2 linked regions of the Alligator mississippiensis genome follow. The protein of the gene in region 1 binds, or shares a complex with, the protein of each later gene. Links are inferred from orthologs where the notes say so. Each region holds a gene or a part of one and is shown in the gene's direction. Other genes may lie near its edges.

The links. The genes of interacting proteins can lie anywhere in the genome.
Region 2: surfeit locus protein 1 (region 1) and SMIM20 share a complex: the UniProt entries of both Homo sapiens proteins name them as parts of the MITRAC (mitochondrial translation regulation assembly intermediate of cytochrome c oxidase complex) complex. The link is inferred for Alligator mississippiensis from reciprocal best matches to the Homo sapiens genes SURF1 and SMIM20.

Annotation. Positions count from the first base shown.
Region 1 is NC_081835.1:60,871,574-60,879,352, reverse strand, and holds the start of surfeit locus protein 1, read left to right. Parts: upstream 1-4,743; 5' UTR 4,744-4,790; coding exon 4,791-4,850; intron 4,851-5,074; coding exon 5,075-5,153; intron 5,154-5,795; coding exon 5,796-5,923; intron 5,924-6,275; coding exon 6,276-6,358; intron 6,359-7,066; coding exon 7,067-7,258; intron 7,259-7,595; coding exon 7,596-7,668; intron 7,669-7,779. Other genes in the region: SURF2 (surfeit locus protein 2), read right to left, coding at 1-11, 1,208-1,380, 1,983-2,171, 3,305-3,408, 4,154-4,308, 4,512-4,595. UniProt on the Homo sapiens protein: Component of the MITRAC (mitochondrial translation regulation assembly intermediate of cytochrome c oxidase complex) complex, that regulates cytochrome c oxidase assembly.
Region 2 is NC_081825.1:39,731,880-39,739,497, forward strand, and holds the start of SMIM20 (small integral membrane protein 20), read left to right. Parts: upstream 1-4,529; 5' UTR 4,530-4,577; coding exon 4,578-4,686; intron 4,687-7,561; coding exon 7,562-7,618.

The DNA of each region.
Region 1 (7,779 bases):
CCCGATTGTTTCTGTGAAAAAAATAGTTCACCTCACTTTTCAAGAAGTTCTTTGTCTTTCTGGGCTGGCATGAAATGGCGCGTAGCCAGGACCAGAAAGCAAACACCTGGGCCCCACCAGACTTCACCGTCTTTAGGCTGGGTGTCAACGCGATCTTGTTTGCAGAGAACGTGGACACAGCCAAAGACAAGGCATTTCCTTACCTCAACCCTTGCCTACAATCTGCAAGCTATTGTACCCTTCCTCCGCTTTGTCGTCACGTTAAATGGCAATACAGGCAACCCTCCCCATTCGCTGGGGATACGTTTTTGTATCCCCCCCACGAATGGCGAAATCTGCAAATAAGGCACTGCGTTCATGTGCGCTGGGGCAGGGGGACGCAGCTCCAGCGGGAGCAATCACAAAGCTCCTGAGGAGTGCTTGTAAGTGTATGAAGTGCATTTAAAATGAGAATTCGGCATTCGCGAATATTTGAAACCGCAAATGCCAAACCCGCAAATAGCAAAGCTTTCCTGTACTGCCAACCTGGCTGCAGACGTGAATCAAACTACCACAGACTCTGATCTCCCAAGACTGGCATGTTCCTAACAGCAAGGAATCCACTTCCTTCGCTCAGGACTTTCTTTTAGAGTTGGACTTATCAGCAAGGATTTTTCCAAAATCCCTATACCTGCTATATACAGGGGCCATGAAGTCCAGCTGCTTCCCAAACACACAGCAGGGATTTGGATGCAAAGATGTGCAGGATCAGGACAGAGATGTACTCTGGGGAGGAGATCCACTGTACAGCATCTGGGTAGTTACTGAAGGGAGCTGGGGAAATAAGAGCGAATATACTAACCCTATGTCAAGGGATTTGATTAATGCGGGGAAGAGATTTTACAGCCCAATCCCCTTGCTTTTCAAAGCAAAGTGTAGGAGGGCTGATATGGAGATCTGATAATTACACAGACAGGAACAAAGAGCCTCAGGAAGATGAATGTCTACCAAGAAATGGTAGGCTTATGGTCTACGCCAGCTGCTCACTGTTAGAAACTTCCATGCAAGGAAATGTTAGGCTTTCATTTGCCCCTCTCACAGGTCAGCAGAGCAGATGGACTATTGGTGCAAACATGCAGGATACCGTCCCTGTGCTCCCATACAGAGGTTCACCTCATGTCCCAAGCTCAACGCGGGTCACTGCTTTCCACAGCAGTGCAGCACTCACCTTTCCCCTTTTGCTGCCTTGTCCATCCAGGTCCATTTTCTCACTCTTCTCCCCATTCACATCCCCATTTTCCCCAGCCGGCTTGGCCTTGTCTTCTTCACTGTCTGTCATAAAGTCGTCGCTGTCTTCCCCACGTCCTGCAGCTGCTGGGATTTTTTCTGGGAAGAGCTCAGCTAAAACACAAGGCAAGACCCAGATGGGGCCAGATTCTGCTTCACACGGGCACCTGCTCTCACTCCACTTCAGAGACATCCTAACAGGGGTTTCAGGGACATCCTAATGGGGGAACGGACCAAGCTGAAGCATTAGACTCCAACCTCTATCACCAAAGGCCTTCAGTGACCAACTGGTATGTTACTACTGAAACACCTGGAAGGCAAATAAGCTGACAGCACATCAGTAGCAATGGGCCCAGGACCCTTAGTAATCCAAGTACAGGAGACGTTCAGCCCATGATCCTCTAATGTGTGGGCTCCCCGCTGGCCAGGCATCAACAGAACTGCCATCCTGGCCCGCTCCTGCTGCTGCCCTTTCAAAGTAGCAAAGTTCTGCCTCTTTCCATAGAGTCTTGCCCATTTTTACGCATGACCAAGAAGTCCTCTCCTCATCCCACTCCCTGTGCTGCTAATGGGGATTCGTAGATGTTAGGGGCTGGTCATCGGGTCCAGCCCCCCTGCACTTGAAACAGACTTGCCTTTCTAGTGAGTGCCAGGAAGGACCGAGGGAGGAGAGGGGGTCCGTTTACAATATTCAGAAACGCCAAAGCTTTGCTCACGTGGGTACAGGTCGCTCATGCTGTCGTCACTGTCCTCCTCGTCCTCATTGCTGGACGCGGGCTCCCAGAAATCCCCCCTCTTGCACGGCGGCTTGCTCCCCTTCGGCTGGTCATCATGCCGCCGCTGCCGCTTCTTCTGCAGCAGGCAAGCAGGCACATACTCCGTGCCCTCCTTCTGGCACTCCTCATCTAGTTAGGGAACAGAACAGGGGGACTCAGCTAGGATCACACACAGAAATGCAAGCAATTCAGCAGCTTGCTGGCCTAATAGAGGAAGATAGCGAACCAGAGGTACAGCAAGGTCCTGGGTAGCTAGTCAGTGCAGTATGAATTGCAACTGCACCTTTCACAGACCATGCCCCTGCAGAGACCTAGGGAGACACCAAAGCCAATGGATGCAAAATGGGAGCGCGCACTTCAATCTTGCTGCCCTGGCAGCAATTGTAGCAGGGGTGTGCACCGAGCCTGACACCTTTTGCAAGAGCCAAACATCCCCAGAGACCCAAGTCTATTCTGTCCAGAGAAGTCCAGCACTGCAGTTTCCTTCACACCCTGCTCCTACTCTGACCAGGACATGCCTCTAGCGGTGGCAGCGCAATTCAGTCTGCACGTTCCATTCAAACCTAGCTTCTGGGATGCAAACACAAACACAAACACCTCCCATGGTAGGGGGTGCTGGCTTTTACAAAGCAAACACTTGTTCCCAGGAACACCAAGCTCACTACATGCAGGCCAACAAGCAGCCGTCGGGTAGGACTGGCATTCAGTCACTACCTAATTGAGCCAAACACTGCCACCAGAGATCTACAAGCTTCAGTCCCTTTACTGATAAAACAACACTGCCAGGCTCATCTTGACTCTCATCAAGTCCCCACAGATATAAGCCACCATCCAAACTTCCACTAGTTGGTGGCTGAACGTAAGGTGCTCAAGCTGGGACATGCAGACAGCTGGCAAATCCCTCAGGGCTGGCTTCTCCAGCTGCTAAACTGTATTGACAGGGAGTTAAAATATTAGGCATTCCCATAATTGTATGTTCAGTGTTAATGCCAGAGATACCACATGATGCCATAGATAGAAAAGCATCCACTGCACAACCTCTGTATTTAAGCATTAGCTGCAGTACAAAAAGGTCTGAGAACCTCTGCTCTAAAGCAAAGACACTGCTTTGCCAACTAGAGAAAAAAACTGCAAACAGCAGGCAGGAGTGCTGTTGTTACTGGCAAGTTGTCGAGAGCTTCCCCAACACTTCCCACCTACCAGGCTGGGCGCCACGAGTACAGATCAAGAAAGATGTTGCAGAAGGCGCTAGCACCACTTACATTTTTTCAGCGCCTTCTGATAGCGCTTCCCTTGGACATGACGCAGCACGTGCTCCGGGACCCTGTTGATGTGCCTGAGCGTGAGCTTGCAAAACAGCTGGTGTCTACAGGAAGAGACATGGATGTGAGCACAGCAAAGTCAGCAAATGGAACGGTCCACGTCTGAGTAATGAAACAACGCTGTAGCCGTGACGGTCCAAAAAACATGCAAGAGGCTCAGACTCTTGTGGGTCCTCTCTTTTATGGTGGGGATAGATTTAGATGAGCTTTTGGGATATCACAAATCTTGGGCCTCTGAGAGAGAAGCAGATGGAGACCCGAAGGAGGGCACTGCGGTCTAAGCCTGTCCCAACCAAGCAGCTGCCCCAATAACAGACATCACCTGTGAGAGTCCTTGCCTCTCACATTGCTCCTGGGTGGGCGGTTTAAGTCAGGGGCGTCAAAACATGGCCTACGGAACCGTTCCAGCCGGCTTGCTGCTGATCCAGCAGACAACCGGTGTGGGCAGTGGAGCATGTCCTGCCACAGGATTCGGGGTGCGTAGGCCCCCATTGCACATGCCCACCAGCAACAGGGGGAGAGAGGGCTATGCAGACACCACCCTCGCTTGCCTGGCTGCTGGCCATCCCTGGACCCGCTCTGCTGCCTGAACGCAGACCTGCCCTGCTGGGCCCAGGGGAGCCCGCACAGTTCGACGCTGCCCCGAGGCCTGTGCAAGTTCGACACCCCTGCTCGAAGGCAACAGCCAGCAAAGCTGCATTGCAAAAGCTTTCCCAGCCCAGCAAGCAGCTTCCCTCCAAAGCACCGAGGCCTCCTCCCTGCCCCAGCCGCCAGCACGGGGTTACGCACGGGTTCTTGGTGCTGGGCACGATGTGGGGTTCGTAGTCGCTGTAGTTGAAGGCGCCAGGTGTCCCGCTCAGCCGCAGGTACCTCTTGCCGCTGGTGTAGGCCTGCAGCTCGGGCAGCCGGCAGGGCAGCTCATGCCCCGTCAGCTCGCAGCGTACCTGGGGCGAGGGGGGAAGAGACGTGTGAGACGCCAGCTCCTGCACCCGCCCCTCACGCAGGGTCTGGACAACGGTCCAGGCATGGGCGGTTTCTGATTCCTGCTCCACCCAAAGCTGAACACCAGCTGCCACGCAGCGGCACCCCCCCGCGTGTCACCCCCCCCGCGCTGCTCCCCCGCGTGGGGACCCGCCCCTGGGCTCACCCGGGTGTCCCCGCCCGGCCCCAGCGGGCGCAGCGCCGGGTGCCGCTGCAGGAAGCGCCGCACGTCCTGGGGCAGCGCGCACATGGCCCCAAGGCCCCGCGCCCCGCCCACCGGAAGTGCCCGCGGCCGCCGGAACCATAGAGACGCGCTGTCACTAGGGCACTCCCCACTTCCGGCAGAAGTAGATGTGCCCGCGACCACCGGAACCATAGAGACTACCAGTCTCTACCAGTGAGTCCCCACTTCCGGTGGAAGCGGAAGCGGAAGCGGCTGTGGACAATGGCTGCGGGCGGCGGGCGCTGCCTTGGGAGGCTGCTGCAGCTCCGGGGCTGTGCCCAGGTGGGAGCGCGGGGGGGGGGCGGGACGGGGGTGGCAGGGGGGTTCCCCCCTTCCTCTGCCAGCCCCCCTGCTTCTCGGCTCGGGCCCTAGACATGACATCATCCTTTTGGATCATTTCAAGCTCCCTTTCCCAGCAAATAACATCTTCCGAAGCCGCCCTGATCGCTCGAGGCTCGAGCGCGCAAAGCAGGGGCGTGACACGGCATCTCTTTGCTTTTGTTTAGATACCAAATGTTTCGGTCAGGACGTTTTTTGCATATCCTCGTACAAAAGCACGGTCCGGTTTGCTACAGGGATCTAAAGGTAAGGAAAAATGTCGTCTTTCCTTCAGGTCCGACACTCAGCTGCCGTCGTGTTCCAGCCGGGGATGTCTGATGCAGCTTTCTCTACCTGTGCTGCTTGCCAATAGTATGTGACATGAGGAAGAAAGGGGGAAAGCTTGTGTTTTGGCAGTTATATAAAATCATTGGCGATGCTAGGGGTGCACGTGCACCCCTGGAAGTGCCAGCCATGAAACTGGAAGTGCACTTCCAGTTTTGCTGCTGGCTTGGTAATTGGCCACTGGGTGACACCCCCTCCCCCCCCCCAATCGGCAATCTGGTGCCCCCCGGACTTGGGAGGCACCACTTGCCCGTGTGTAAAATGCATTAGAATTAATTGAAATGAAGAGGTTCCATAAATAGAGGTCTTTTACGCTTGTCAAAGGATGCTGAGATGATTTATAATGTCGTCTGAAGACTTAAGCCTCCAATACAGTATCACTGTGTAGAGTAGATAATGTAAGTAAAATAGCTTAATTAAAGGAGTCAGAGAACATTAGGACCGAGTCAGTAGCATGGTAGCTGGGAAGCTTGGTAAACATCAGTTCCTGATGCTGCAAACCCTGCAGGGAGGTAAGCTGGTTTCTCTTATAGTAACTGTGTTTCTAATTTGAATTCACTCCAGACGTTTGTTTGAGACTCCGGAGACCAAAAAGTGGCACAGCAGATGTCATCGAATCTGGAGAGGATGTTGCGTTCAGGTGGGGCCTTTTACTGATCCCTGTGACCACATTTTGCCTTGGCACATGGCAGGTAAATGAAAACATTTCACTCTTTAGAAATCAAAGTACGCACATGGGTATCAGTTGAGAACTGCCTTAGCCAGCCAGAGGGACTTATCCGTGTCAAAATAAAAATTAGTCAGTGTTGTTTGGCATCTTTAATTTGGGCTGTTTCAACAAGTCCAGGCAATTCTTTTGTTGGAAAATTTAATTTTACTTTCCATCCCCGCAAGGAAATAGGTATTTCAATTTTCATGTCTCCAATTATCCTGTTAAAGACCAGTGTGATCCCAGCATTGAGGAAAACATGAATTTTGTTTTCAAACTTGCAAGAAGTTATTAGCAGCAGCCCCCATGATGATGCCATTGCTGTGTGTTCCCAGGTCCAGCGCCGGAAGAGGAAGTTGAAACTGATTGCAGACCTCGAGTCAAGAGTTGGATCAGAGCCTGTTCCTCTGCCTTCAGAGTAAGTGTAGAAGCTGGGTTTACACTTGATGATTCATGTAGCATCAGCAATCTACTAGGAATTTGGGACATGGTCCTTGCCCTGAGGAACTTGCACACTAATAGACAACATGGGAGCAGCAAGCAGTGTAGACAAACTAGAAAGAAAAATATGGTGGTTCATCTTATTTTAAACATGAGCTGTGAATGCTTCCCTGGAAAGCATTATGTGCTACCAAAAATGCACGTGTTACAAAAAGCCATGTGGATAGACAAGGTCCTTGCACTGTTCAGACAAATCTGAGGCACAGAACAAGTGCATGTGGCCATCTGGTATAGAGTGTCAAGGTTCAAGGGTCAGGAAGGGAAGGAGAATTACTGTTGACTTGACCTCCACATGCTATGTCTACAGGAAAAAGGCCCTTCCCAGCTGGTGTTGAGTTCTGCCAGTGACACAGGAATTACACCTGGGTATACCCAGGATACTAACAACTCATGCTATTCACTAGCGTGCTGCTAAACTGTAGTCGGATGCTTAACTCATTGGGGATTTTGTTTCTCTGTCTGCTACTGCTGATCCTTTTTTTTTTTTTTCTTCAGTTGATTTGCCAGTTGTCCATTTGGGGAATAAAAAAACAGAGGGGACCCCGTAATTCCGCTAAAGGTTTAACTGTCTGGCTCTGGTGGCCCAGAGACTGCTCTCATCCCAGTGCATCTTGTTCCCTTACAGCCCTGCAGAGCTGAAGGAGCTGGAGTACAGGTCTGTCAAGGTTCGAGGGTATTTTGATCACTCCAAAGAGCTCTACGTTATGCCACGTTCACGGGTAGATCCTAAGCGAGAGGCCAGAGAAGCTGGACGACTGACATCCAGTCCGGACAATGGAGCAAACATCATTACTCCCTTCTACTGCACAGACCTTGGGTATGTTCAGCTACTAGCTGGAGGACTCTAGGCTTATGCAGGGCTGCAGCAGGCACTTTGTTTCTTCCCAGCAGCAGCTGAATTGCAGCTGTCAGGTTAGTTCAAAGGAGAGCAGTGATGTATACAAGAGAAAAGAAAAAAGCCTCTCAGATGGTCTACTCAGTTGGTAACCCTTGACTTCCAAGTGCATTTAAAACCCATTTTAATTTGCTTCCTGTTACCTGGAAAGTGGTTTTCAAACACGTAGATCGCTAATCTTTTTGGCATGTAGTTTCAGTGATGGGAGTTCTCTTGCTAACACTTATTTTTCTCTCTCCGTTCTTACTTGTACCTGCAGTATCACAATCCTAGTGAACCGAGGCTTTGTCCCAAAAAAGAAGTTGAAACCAGAGACCAGACTGAATGGTCAGGTAAGAGGAACCAGTTAGATCTCTCACCCGCTACCCTGGAAGCAACTGTTAATATGCCAGCTGAGGCATTAGACTAGGGGTGGCCAGTCACCCACTCTGGGTGCCACATCC
Region 2 (7,618 bases), on another chromosome or scaffold:
ATATATATGTGCCTTCCTATATAAATTCCATAGTATAACATGTAAGCTATAAATGTGTAAAAATAAAAATTTATAAATGTATATGTGCCTTCCTATATAAATTCTATAGTATAATATGCAACATAATTATGAAATTGAAAAGAATAAATCAATTAATATTATAATAAAATTAATGGGTCTAGAAAGAAAGCAAAAGGTATTGAGGAATCCCACTTGCTAGGCTAGCAAGTAGGAAATCAAATCAATGCTAGTAGTAGCCTTTGTTGTCTAACGTTCCTGAGGTGGAAGATAGCTCAGTAACTGACCCCAAGGCAGAAAGCAGGCCATTTCAAACAATGCTGCCTTTTATTCTGTTTTTCCATCCCTCCCCCAGAGCACTGGGATTGGAAGGGATCTCAGGGAAGGATCACAGTCACTGGCCAGCTACACAGTCAATAACAGAGCATTCCTTCCCCCTTCTTCCCCATCCCTCTCCTTACTTTCTGTTTCCCTGCAGGCAAGCCCAGCTTCAGCTTTGAAATGTTTCAAAACTTTCAAAAAGTTTCAACTGCCCTCATTTCATTTCAAGGCTGTTTTGAAGCCCTTCGTTTCATTTCAATTTTTCTGTTTCGAGCTTGAAACGAGTCGAAACAGTGTCAAAATGAACAGCCAGTGAAATTTCTCACAGTCCTATTAATCAGGGCCAGAACAGTATTCCACAATGGGAAAAGGTGTCTACATGAGTCTACACATCCAAAGCTTAGCAGGTATTGCCCATGGCTGTCATTGGGCCAGGGCAGGTACACTGTCTGAGTCCGTCTTTGCTTTTGGTTGTTTCAGAGTTGGTATGTCTCCCTCAGATTCAGCTGTTCTTTTATATATTTTGGAGGATCAGAGGTACAGTTCTCCTGAGCCAGGTAAAAGCTTTCCCATGGAGGGAAGAATTTCAAAGGCTGAGAACTGGCATATCTAGTCATGGAATTTTGCATTAATCCCTTGTCTCAAATGATTCTGTTGGAAATGCATCCATTGAAATAGGGACATTAGGAAACAATTTCCCTTGATACAACTGCCTTTATAGTATGTCACACGTAAATAAAATAGCTCTGAAATGATTCCAAAACATCACCTCAATAGACAACTGGAGAAATTGTAGATTTTGATAGGAATACCCTGCAAATGAAAGGTGATGAACTGACAGGGGTGGCCTGTTTGACATATTTTTGATAACACATATAACACAAACTCCAAAGAAAACAGCTTGGGTGAAAAGCTATCTGTTAAATAGCATCATAAGAAAGTAGGGCTGGGAGCACTGGTGATGCATAGGGGCTGCATGCAGGTGCATGTGCACCCCTTGCAAAAAGCGCTGCAGACGCTGCCAGCGGTGCCTATGGGTGGTTGCCACTCACCACTCCTCCCCACCCAGTGGCACCCCCCCTCGGTAGCAACTGCAAGTGGTCGCTGACTGCTGGTTGGCGCTCGCCAACTCTCCCCACCACCCGCTGCCGACACTGCCATGGCCGCCTGCGGGAGCTCCTCACTTGCTGCCAACTGACCCCTCCTCCACTGCCTCTGACACCTGCGGGCGGTCATGACCCCCCAGCCTCTGGGGGCATGCGGTGTTCATGGCTGGAAGGGACCTCAGAAGGTCATCTAATCCAGCTCCTTGCTTGAAGCAGGATCATTCCTGACTAAAGCATCCCAGCCAAGTGTCTAACCTGCTTTTGAAAGTTTCCAAGGATGGAGATTTCACAACTTCTCTAGGCAGCCTGACCACCCTCATAGTAAGAAAGTTCCTTTTAATCTTCAGCCCGAATTTCTACTGCTGGAGCTTGAGGTTATTACTCCTAGTCCTGTCCCCTACTGCCACAGAGAAGCATCTAAATGCTGCTACCCCTTCTGCTAATGACAGAGAAATCTCTCAATTCACCTCTGATATATATATATATATATATAAGATGACCTCTCTTAGAAATCAGAGAAGACTGGCTGACATTTCTTTAAAAAACAACAAACCCTTCAAAGTATGTAAGGGACTGGATTTTTCTAACACCCATGTCATACTGGTTATCTGCAGAAAAAATCAATTTGGCCTCCTACCCCTACTATTTGAGATCATAGATAAAAATATTACAAAACCTCAATAGTACCCGCCTGTATTCACTTAAGCCTGCAACTTTAGCAGCATTTCTGTTGTGTTTAATACCCCTCACATTTATATGCTTTTCTGCATCATGATGTCATGGAATCATAGAAAAGTAGGTCTGGAAGGGACCTCCAGAGGTCATCTAATCCAACCGTGTCAGAGGCAGTATCATCCCTATCCAAACCATCCTATCCAAATGCATTGTCTAACCTATTAGCAAAGCCACAGTCAGCCCTGACACAACTAAGTCTAACAACTAGAAAGGAAACATGGGAGCTAAGCTAAAGGGAGACTGAAGTGAGTTGCTGCTCATGAAAGCTCTTATACTGTTATTCAATTATGATATAGAAGTGGTTCTTGGGCTTTTTCAGACTCAAGGCACCCCTGGCTAGACCCAAGGCACCCTTCCAAAACTGCCAGCTCTTGTTTTTTGACTAAAATAAAACAGAGCAATAAAATAAAAATAACAGTGCTAACATGGCATGGCCTTGTTACAGCCTTGAGACAATCCCAAGACACTCCAGTGGTGCTGCCTCACCTGGTTGAGAATCACTGATCTGTAGGATGCACCCTAGTCCAACCCCTGCCTAAGGAAGGATCATCCCTATCCAAACCAGCCTATAGGTTTCCCTCGCTTTATGCGGGTTCTGTATGTGTGAATTTGCTCTTATGCAACAACCCTTTTTATACCAAAAATACATTATATGCGAGGTAAATTCACTCTTATGTGATTGGTGTGGTGGAAGCCTGCAGTCAGCTGCTTTGTGCAGTGCATTGTAGGAGTGATGCGCACTAAAATATAGTCTCTTGTGTGGTTCTGTGCTCCTGACTTGTTGTCTGAGACATGTGTTTCTGTAGTTGCCATCCCCATTATGAGTGTGCCCTGTTGGTGAGTACCAGAATTGTCTTGTAAAAGTGGCAGAAATGGGTCTGGGAGTCAGAACAGTCAAGGTCTTGGAACGTATCCCTATTTCTTACACCATAAAGTGGGTCCCTTTATGCAAAATTGAGTTATGCGCTGTTTTCCAGGAATTCGTGTACCGCATAAAGCAAGGAAACTTGTACAAATCCACTGTCTAGCCCAGGGGTCGACAACCCCCGGCATCTGTGCCAAGCATGGCACGCGAGGCCATTTTGCTTAGCACCCACAGCCAGCCCCAGCTCTAAGATGCTTCCAGCAGGGCTTGCAGCATCCCAGCTGCCTGCTGGGAGCCGCCCGGGCTCCCGGCTGGCAGCAGCTCCCCAGAGCCAAGGCGGGTGCAGCCGGGAGCTCCAAACAGCTGTGCCGGGCTCCGGCATCAGCTCCACACTGGCGCTTGCACCCGCGCCTTAGAGCAGGCGGCGAAGGCGGGGCTGAGGCAGCGCAGCCCCGGTCTCCCCCCACCCCGCTCCGGGCACGGAGGTGATGGCGGGCTTCCAGAGCCCGGCGCTGCTGTTTGTAGCCAGCCTGGGCTCTGGGCAGCTGCAGCAAGCAAGCAGGGGGCAGGCTGCAAACAGCTGCGCGGGGCTCTGGAAGCCCGCCATCACCTCCGTGCCGGGAGCGGGGTGGGGGGAGGCCGGGGCTGCGCTGCCTCAGCCCCGTCAGCTCTGACACGCAGGCGCACGCGCCGGTGCGGAGCTGATGCCGGAGCCCGGGGCCCCGCGCAGCTGTTTGGAGCCTCCCGGCTGCAATTGACCCCGGCTCTGGGGAGCTGCTGACAGCCACAGAGCCCAGGCTGGGAGAAAGGGGCTTTGGGTGGGGGGCGAGGGGCAGTAGAGGTGGGGGCACAGGGCATGGGGCAAGAGGCTTTGGGTGGGGGGCAAGGGGCACAAGCAGGGCATCCTGCTATGTACCCCTTGCCGGCACCGCGGCACCTTCCAAGGTAGGCACTGTGGTGTTTTTCGGCACTCCGGGCAAAAAACGTTGCTTACCCCTGGTCTAGCCTCTGGGCGCTCAGCCTCCAGCCCATGCGCCAAACGGAGCGCAAACCCTCGGAATCGGGCCTGTGCGGGTCCCCGGAGGCCAGGACACGTGGCGGCAGTTAATACCGCCAGCCCCGCGCCTGCTTCCCCCCGCCAGGCCAGGGTGGGGCCGTGCCCCCGCCGCCCAGCGCAGCTGGGTCAGGGCTGGCCCGGGCCCCCCGCACTGCCCGCTCCCGCGTGGCTGGGCTCGGGCGGGTGGAAAGGCCCGTGCAGTATGCGAGTGCGGTGATGCACCAGGCCGCTACCGGCCCAGGTGAGACCCGGCAGGCGACACCCACAAGAAGGGAAATGACGAGTAGGAGAGAAGGGCAGCGCGTGCCGGGGGGACCGTGACGCACAAGATCAACTCAGTGATGTCAAAGTCAAGCAGGGGCGGGGCGGATGCGGGGCAGGAGAGGCACCTCCCACGCAGGGGGAGGGCGTTGCCGTGACGCAAGTTCTTCCCGGCGTGCCCCGCGCCCCGCGGAAGCGGGTACTTCCGGCGGCGATGGCGCGAGTTTCCCGCGCGCTGCTCATCTTCGGCAGTTTCGTGGCCGCAGTGGGGGCGGTGGTTTACCCCATCTACGTCCTGCCGCTGCAGCAGATAGAGCGCTACAGTGAGTGGCCCCGCGGGCTCCGCCCTGCCAGCGCGGTGCAGCGGGACGCCTCGCCCCGCCCCGCCCGTCGCTTCCTCGGGGCCACTGGCCCCTTTCCGTGCGGGCCGGGGCAAGGGGGCGCTGGCGGCTCCCGGCTCTAGTCGGAGAGGGCGAGTCCCTGCCTGAGGACACGGCTGCGCCCCTTTTTGTCGCGTCCCTGGTGGGCACGGTGGGTGGCATCGAAGGGGAGGCCAGGGGGTAGAGGGACGTGCAACTCTTGGCTGTGCCTCCGAGCCTGTTCTGCAAAGCACCACACTTCTAGCTAGAGAGAGTGGTCACCCACAACTGGAAAAATAATGTAACTGGTAGTCGGCTTTTTTTGGCCAGAAACATCCCCAATAAACGCCGCATGCACACGTGCAGCCGCAGCTGGCACATGCAGCAGCTAAGAAAGTAGCCTGGCAGTTTGGAGAGCAGTGTCTTGCCCTGCCAATAAGTCTGCTGGGAAGGGGCATGAGGGTGCAGATGGAGGCCAGGGTGGTGAGGGAGGGAGTGGGGCAGTGAACGGGATCCTGGGGCTGGGAGCAGGGTGGAGTCACTGGAGTCACAGGTGGCTCGTCCATGGAGGCATGTGTCCCCTTCCCCCGCCCCCGATTTGTGCATGGGGCAAGGGTGGGCTGCCCACTGCTGGCCCAGGACGTGCCAGCCTCTTATTAGCAGGGGGCTGGACAGTCTCCACTGCACAGGCAGGTGGTGGTGCTGGGAAGGCTGGCTATGGGGGGGCTATGGAAACTATTGGGGTGATTAGAGCCCCCAAAGCCCCTCCCCTAGCACCGCCCCTGCTCTGGGCACTCTGCTGCCTTTCACTCAGGAGCCCCCTGCTGTGGGGTGGGCAGGGACTTGTGGCCAGAGGGGCCCCTGAGGGAAAAGGCAGTAGAGTGGAGTGCCTTAAGCAAGGGTGGTGCTGGGGGTGCGCTCTAGCAATCACAAAATTCCCCATAGCCTCCCCACTCCCCCACCCCATAGCCAACCCTCCCAGCACTGCCACCTTCCCCCATGCATCTGAGTCTGCCCTTCTCCCGCCCAAGCATAGCCCCATCCCAGTCCCCCTGCTGGGAAGAGGCTGGTGCTGCCCCTGGCCATGAGCACGCAGCAGACAGTCCACCCTCACCCGCGCACAAGTCTGGGGGGGAATATGTCCCCCATGCATCTCCCAGGGGCACTAGCTGTGGTGGGGAGCCACTCTCCCTCCCTACCTCCCCTTGCCCCCAGACGACTTGCCTGCGACTCCATCCAGCTCCTGGCCCTGGGGTCCCATTCACCGCCCTGGCTGGGCAGTTCCTGCTCCTGCCCCATTCCTTCCCTCACCATGGGGGCCTCGATCTGCCCCCCCATGTTCCTTCCCTCCCCTGGGAGGGGAATCTAGCTGTCCCTGCAGTCAGGTTCCCATAGCAACGGCCAGGGCACTCTGCCAGTGCTCCCTGTTTTCAGAATGGGAAGGGGAACGGCAATGGGGAGAGCTCATTCTCGGGGCTCCCTGCTGGTGCTGAAGGGTGAGGTGGGTGAATTGGGCCCCCCCATCTCTGGCGGGGGGGCTCCAATATTCCTGCCCCACCTCCCGGGGTCAACCCCCCCCCCCCCCCCCAGACTGAACTCCTTTTCCCTTTCCTTCCTCCCATTCTGAAAGCAGCGACGGGCTGGGAGCTCCACAGACACAGGTTACAGAAGGCGCTATATTTTGAAATATCTTTATTTGATACTTCATGTAACGAAGGGTCAGATTTCACCAGATTGGCCATTTTTAAGCTGTCTGCAGCCGAGCAGTTGTTTGGTCACAGCTATAGACTGCTTTCTGTGGCGAGATTGGATGAAAATTGTCACTTCTGTCTGCATCTTCAATTATGTTTGTATATTTATATGTTTGTATATTTATTTACTTCACAGCATAACTTTTGGATGCCCATGAGTTGACTGTATTTTGAGACATGTTTGGAGATCTATGTGTATATCACACTTCAGGTGTCAGGAAATAAAAAAGACACTATTTATTTATTTACCTATATGTATAAATAAAATGTGTATTTATTTTTACTTCAGCATGATTGTGAAGTAACATGCTTCCGACACCTCAAGTTGGATATATTTGGCGACTGTGTTGTTTTTTTTTTCTTTCTCTCTCTCTCTCCCCCCCCAGGTATACCCAACTTTATAGCATGATTTTTGGACACCTTAAAGTATTGTGCTTCAGACACCTGAAGTTGGATATATTTGGATATCATGTATATCATGGGTTCCCAAACTGGTACGTGTACTCCTGGGAGTACGTGACATCTTTAGGGGGTACACTGGAGAAATTGCGTAACAGTGGATTTTAATGTCCATTATAATAATTGTCATTAAGGGGTTAAAATATAAAATGTATGGTAGTAGGGGCATGGGGGCAGCTGATTAAATCTGGAAGGGGTACACAATAAGAAAAAGTTTGGGAACCTCTCATATGTATAATGGATAATCTCCAATTATATCCGACTTTTGGGTGTCCAAAACATGTTACTTCACAACCATGCTGAAGTAAAAATAAATAAACTTTTAAAGATTTTGTGTGTGTAAAATCTCTATATATACATTTATTTATTTATTTATTTTAGCATTTAAAGAAGCACAAGAGCTTGTTACGCTCATGTGGCTTCCTTGCAGTTTGGTTATAAGAACCTGAAACTGACATTTGACATTCATTGCTGTGAGAGAGAAATTTTGTATCACTTTTGCTGGGCACAAAAGTATTCACTAGCACCTCATGCCTTAACCTTCATTTTTTGCTGGTTTTAATAGATGTTTGTTTAGCAACCATGAAAGTGAATGGTGATTCTTGTCTTTGCACTTATGCTTTTCCCAGAGCAAGAGCAGGCACAGAATCGAGCTGGTATTGTTCAAGAAGACATCCAGCCTCCAG